Callithrix jacchus: one gene and its partner. The protein of the gene in region 2 purifies or fractionates together with the protein of the main gene of each other region. This does not show direct contact. Links are inferred from orthologs where the notes say so. Each region holds a gene or a part of one and is shown on either strand. Other genes may lie near its edges.

Region 1 (2,673 bases), on a different chromosome or scaffold from region 2:
GCCCCTGCTCACTGTGGGATCAGCTGGATGGTGGGTCCATGATGGACAGAAGAGAAAATGAAAAGCACAATGGAGGCATCCACCACTGCTGTGTCTGGAGTTAATAACGTGTGTGCTAAGAAAGTGTCTTTGAAGCTGGGCATGGAGGCTCATGCCTGTAATCTGAGCATTTTGGAAGGCTGAGGTGGGTGGATCACTTGAGGTCAGCAGTTCAAGATTAGCCTGACCAACATGGTGAAACCCCGTCTCTACTAAAAATATAAAAATTAGCTGGGCATGGTGGTGCACACCTGTAATCCCAACTACTCCGGAGGCTGTGCAGGAGAATCGCTTGAACCTGGGAGGTGGAGGTTGCAGTGAGCTAAGATCACGCCACTGCACTCCAGCCTGGGTGACAGAGCGAGACTCTGTCTCAAGACAAAAACAAAAAACCAGAAAGTGTCTCTGAATTCTTTCAAAAGCTGAATTCTCAAAAGGCTGCTCCCCAATTATCACATTTTTTTCATGTTGAAAGTCCCTGATAAGTATGGAACCTACAGAGATGTAGCTGATCCCATAGAGCATAAACTTTGTTGCTGGCCAAGAAGCTCCCCCAAACCTCTTGCTTTGTAAGAAGGAAGCAAAGTTGCCTTAGTGATCAGCGACTGGTGACCCTAAACATACTCTCCCATACTCGCAGGAAGAAGAAATCTCAACTCAGTGATAAAATGATCTCCAGCTCCCAACACTTAACCACTGTCCTAGGCCTGATGCGCCTTGAAGAAATACAGCGCTGGAGATTAGGGGATGGACTTCCTCTTTTTATTTTCAGTTTTACCTCCTCAGTCTCAGCTTTAAGAGCTGGCCCCATTTGTGTGGCTGAATGGATTATCTACCCCCACCATCCCTAACGTATTTCCACAGGTCTCTAATGAAGACCCTGAGCTTAGAAACCTCAAAACCAGTGCTTCTTTTATACAGGCTGATTCTCTTCTATTCTTCTTCAGAAGATTAGAGACTAGGCATGGTGGTTCATGCCTGTGATCCCAGTACTGTGGGAGGCCGAGGCAGGTGGATCACCTGAGGTCAGGAGTTCAAGACCAGCCTAGCCAACATGGTGAAACACGATCTCTACTAAAACTACAAAAATTAGTCAGGCATGGTATCGAATGCCTATAGTACCAGCTACTCAGGAGGCTGAGGCAGGAGAATCGCTTGAACCCAGGAGGTGGAGGTTGCAGTGAGCTGAGATCACGCCATTGCACTCCAGCCTGGGTGACATAGCAAAACTCCATCTCCCTACCACAAAAATAAAGGAATATAAACGAGAAGGAGAAAGGAGTAAACAGTATAATTTAAGAAGCTGACCCCAGGTTATATTCTGTAATCCCATGTTTCTTCTATGGGGTTTTACTTCCTTTCAGCAACTTCTTCAACGAGGCAGTTTACTCTGCAGTTCACTTGTTAGGTCTCTTCTGAACACCCTAGAAAGGTTTTTCCATCAGCGCCTCTATCCAACTGGTTCCATTAATTAATTTAGTGGTGGCAATGACATATTCTGTACCTCCATCTTCCAACTGGGAAAGAAATCGCAGGGCAGCAATTTCCGCAAAGGTTACGCCCCCAAGGAAAAATACCAGAGTGACTCGGTTTTCTCCCGGTTGACCTACAATGTAAAATTTCAGAATTAAAAACTAGTGGTTTTTATTTTATTAGTGGTGCTTCTCTGCCCACCCCTTCAAACATTTTATCATTCATAATAAACAAGTCTTCATCCAGACAGTTCATCTGAAACCCAGGGACACTGATTTTAATCTCAATGTTTTTTGTAACTCCTGAGATTCTCAATGCAGAGGTTGAAAGCTGTGAACCCTCAGGGAATAATCTGATTCTAGTGCTTACTATATACAATAGCAACAAACAAAAGAGGGATCTTTAATTCTGACTCCTATGTGCTTTACCAAGTATTTTACAAAGCCAACTGTACAATACCTGAAAACCACATTGACAGAACATAATTATCTGCAGATGCTGGACTGGGACTTACGTTTCTTCTGCAGTCCCGTGGGCAGTGGCTGCCTCTCCTCAAAGTGGGGCCCTGGGAGGATGCGGAGGACCTCCTCGATGCTCCGCCAGCCAGGCCGGGAAAGCAGCTGAGCCAGCCGCACGCTGAGCGGGGCATAGCCACTGTACACATAGGATATGTCCGTGGGGTTCTGTGAGATTTAAAGAACAAAAGTCTGTTGATACAGAGTCTTAGAGCTACCTGACTGTGGCCTTTTGGGTAATCCAAAATTATTTGATTTGAATTTAAAGACAGAGATACAGCTGCCACCCCTGCCATGCCCTGTTCTAATCCACCCTAGCGGGGCTCAATTTTAGCAGCCAGAACTTCACTTTTGACTAAATCTTGAAAAGCCACTCAAAGCAGCTCTAGGTACAGATGAAAAACTGTTCTGTGGTCTGACATGAAACCTTTTTTTTTTTTTTGAGACAGAGTCTGGCTCTGTCACCCAGGCTGGAGTGCAGTGGTGCAGTCTCAGCTCACTGCAACCTTGGCCTCCCAAGTTTAAGCAATTCTCCTGCCTCAGTCTCCCAAGTAGCTGGGATCACAGGTGTGCACCACCACTACTGGCTAATTTTTTGTATTTTTACTAGAGATGGGGTTTCACCATGCTGGCCAGGCTGGTCTTG
Region 2 (3,824 bases):
AATGCTGGCAGTGAAAAAGCGCCTGTTGGCTAGAGCGGAGGTAGCAGGCTTAGGACAGTATCCTTAGTAATGCCCTACGGGTTACTGGGAGGAACACAGCAAGCATTTCAGTTCTCACTATGAAAAACATGCTTCCAAGGCTCCCCTCAGAGAGACAAAATGAGCTTTCTGATGCAGGTCCTTGGTCCTGAATGAAGAGTTTCTGAGTGCTGCATCTGCCTTTCTAAAACTTGAGTTGGAATATACTCTCATATCCTCTGTGGTGCTGCCTTCCCTGGAAAATCAGAACCAGGCACTGGCGCTTTGTGTACTTGGGACTCCATCTTTACTTTGCCACTGTGCATTTGCCTGCAGAACACATCTTGGCCCACTCACACACACCTACAACGTGGATCTCAGTGCCGTTGCAAAGTTTAGGCCTCTCCCAGTGCTCACAGATGATAGCAGCAGAACATACATGGAATTCAGTATGCCACATGGTAGATAGTCACCTGACAAAGGTCATTGCTTAAACATCACAGCAACCCCTCAGTGGGCCTTACCTACAGGTGAGGAAACTGAGGCTGTAGTTTGTAAAACTGGGACACAAATCCAGGCTTGCAGAATCCAAAATCTGTACCATAATACATGATATATGAATGTATTGGGCTTATAGGGGGCGTGTGTGTGCGTGCACAGGATAGAACCTGAACACGTAAGGGCTTGGAGGAGGTGTGGTGGAGAGCTGCTTTCCTACCTGCCTCACTGTCCTTCCCTTGAACCAGAGGATTGGACCAGTGCCTCCACTTGATAGACACAGGAAGGCAGCCTGGAAACTTGCTCAGGGACTGGAGGCTCAGAGCTCAGATGAACCATCTATCCAAATTAACCCAGAGTAGATAATCCATGTTCAGAGAAGTGAGTTTACTGTACAGAAATGTCAGCGCTTTCGATACCTTTTCACATCCTGTTCAGCTACTGCCATCCTTGTTCTTGGATTATCTGAATATTATAAAATTGTTACTCCATGGGTTGTCAAAATCTGTCAGCAAAAAATGCCTTGTTCTTCAGTTTCCAATTTGCACAGGGTCTTCGAGGAGGGCTTCAGGGTTTAGGTTGCCTTTTTAATCTTGATTTGTTGCCCTCTGGCCTTTGACACTGCTTCATGCTGGGCTGTTTTTCTCTATAAATATATTTTTTACACCGCTGTATTGAAATATGATTGACATACAAAAAGCTGTACATATTGAATACATCATTATATTTTAAGCGATGATTTTATCCAAAGCTTTAATGTGCAGTGACCAAAATAGATGAAGAAAAAGTGGGTTTGAAAAGTACAGTCGCTGTATTGCCGCCCCTCTTTCAGGTCGGAGTTCAAGTTTTCACCAAGAGACCTTTGGATGAACAGCAGAAGAACAGTTTTAACCCAGACGACGTTATCAATTGCCTTAAAAAATACCCTAAAGCCCTTGTGAAGTATCTGGAACATCTCGTGATAGACAAGAGACTGCAGGTGAGCACTGCAGAACTGAGACTCAAGAGGGTGGGCTGGAAACGCAGAATTAAACTACAACACTTTTTGGCATGTAGGTCTGTGTAATGTCTATTCCCTGGGTGCTCCATCCTACTTGTTGATGGTCTGATGGGGGCCTTGAGGCTTGCGGAAAGAGACATGGAGCAATAGGTAGCTTTATTTTTTCTCCTTCCATCTCACGTCCACTCAGCTTTTATTTTTCTCCTCTTTTCCTTCTTTGTTATAATCCTTAAAGGAAATAAAAGGAGCTATACCTTTTTGTAGGTTACCTCAATTCTGTGGCCCTTACTTCTCGAAATAAGAGGTGATTTTTTGTTATATTCCCCATAGATGGTCAACTCATGTCTGTATTGTGGTTTCTGAGAAGGTTTTGATCCAGTGAGTGAGCATCCGCCCGGCTCATGTCAGCGCAGCTCCCGTCTCCAAGCCTTGGCTGACCGGGGAGAGCTTTGGCCTTCCCACTTGAAAACACTGTCTGTTTGCTTGGCTCCCCCTGTTTCCTGCAGAAAGAAGAGTATCACACCCACTTAGCTGTGCTCTACCTGGAAGACGTGCTGCAGCAGAGGGCCTCCGCCAGCAGCAAGGGTGCGGAGACCACTGAGACGCAGGCCAAGCTGCGGCGTCTTCTCCAGAAGTCCGATTTATACCGAGTCCACTTTCTTATCGGTGAGAATGATCTCAGTACTGTCTTCCTTTAGAAAAACTCTTATCAAGTGGGTGGGAGGAAGCAGAGAGACGGGCTTTGGCACAACTCCTGGTTGATTCCATGGGGTGATTCCTTGAGCCTCTTTTTTAAAAATGACAGGATGTCGCTTTGTCGCCCAGGCTGGTTTCAAACTTGTGGCCTCAAATGATCTTCTTGCTTCTGCCTCCCAAAATGCTGGGATTACAGATGTGAACTACCACACTTGGCCCTTGAGCCTCTTTTGACAGAGTCAGCCTCCCTGGAGGGAGAAGTGAGGCTTCTTGTGCCTCTAGATGGACACTGCCTTTTGATTGATGATGTTGGCACTTCCCTGGTAGCTTTTGGTGTGTGTGTCTTGACCATACCTTTGTCTGAGCATCTTTATCAATGTCAGAGCACTGAGTCATAGTTCCGTCTGATGACTCCAGTCTCTGATCAAGGCTTTGCAGTAGGCACTGCCCCCAGCAGGCCACTCCTGGGCTGCTCAAGGCTCAGGGCCCTCGAGCTCTAAGCGAGAAGGCATTGCGGGTGTCTTGGAGGGGATTTGCGTTTCCATTCCTCAGGGGTACAGAGACCACCGTTTCTGTATCGTGTAAAGTTCCATGTGCAGCACAGTGCTTGCAACTGTTAGAATTAACTAGTTTCTTGCCACATTAGACATAGAATTTCTGGATTTATACTCACTGGGGTTAGTGACGTGTTTTTCTTTAATGGCCTTTAATACCATTTTTTGACCAATAACAAAGCATGTCTAACACATGCGTTGTCTCCAGAGAGCTTAGGAGTGCCAGGCAGCACTTCAGAACTACGCTGAAATCACCAACTAAAGGCACCAACATGCAAAAAGGCATGGCACTAAAGAGCCCCTGAAAAGGAAATGAAGCAAGGAGGGAGGGCGCTGCTCCTTTGGCCCCAGCTCTGTGTCAGGCTCGGTGCTTGTCACAGATGACCTTGAAATTCCTGCAAGTGTTGATTGGGAGGTTATAAATAAATGTCAGTGAGTAGATGACTCTGTAAATACAGAATCCACAAATAATGAGGATTGACTGGATATGCCAGGCACAGGTCGAATCACCGAGGCTGCCTTATGACATACAGTTTCCACAACAACCCCGTGAAGCGAGTCCGGTCATTCCTCCATTTTTACAGAAGAGTGCACTGAAGCTCAGAGACGTTACCCCACTTGCCACAGGTCACACAGCCCAATGCGTGGTAGAGCCACAACAGGGGTGTGGGATGGCATTTCATGAGACCAGCAAACACTAGTTCTGGCTTGCACCTGCACCTACATTAGGACTTTCTGTGGTGATCTGCCATGTGAATTCTGTTGACTCACAGCTGCCATCCCTGACTGATCATTGCCAGGGTATACCAGCTATTGAATATTCTTACTCACTCCTGACTTATCCTTTTTGCTTTACAAATCTCCTTATAAAACTCTCAGGCCAGCCACAAGTGTGTGGATCAATGTTTGCATTCCGCCAGCGTTTTTGAGCATGTAGAGTGTGTCACTGTGCATTGAGGATGTGAAGATGGATGAGACTTGGTCCTGGTCCTCAGAGACTCAGAATTTAATTGGAATGCAGATAAGGGCTGGTACAGTTTTAGATGGGCCGAGGAACC

What was found.
Region 1: the proteins of TGFBRAP1 (region 2) and VPS33A purify together in Homo sapiens (co-immunoprecipitation; 5 studies listed by BioGRID and IntAct, with this or other methods). This does not show direct contact. The link is inferred for Callithrix jacchus from reciprocal best matches to the Homo sapiens genes TGFBRAP1 and VPS33A.

What each region holds. Positions count from the first base shown.
Region 1 is NC_133510.1:125,441,858-125,444,530, forward strand, and holds the end of VPS33A (vacuolar protein sorting-associated protein 33A), read right to left. Parts: intron 2,196-2,673; coding exon 2,027-2,195; intron 1,646-2,026; coding exon 1,464-1,645; 3' UTR 788-1,463; downstream 1-787.
Region 2 is NC_133515.1:15,348,825-15,352,648, reverse strand, and holds part of TGFBRAP1 (transforming growth factor-beta receptor-associated protein 1), read left to right. Parts: intron 1-1,348; coding exon 1,349-1,495; intron 1,496-2,022; coding exon 2,023-2,182; intron 2,183-3,824. UniProt on the Homo sapiens protein: Plays a role in the TGF-beta/activin signaling pathway. It associates with inactive heteromeric TGF-beta and activin receptor complexes, mainly through the type II receptor, and is released upon activation of signaling.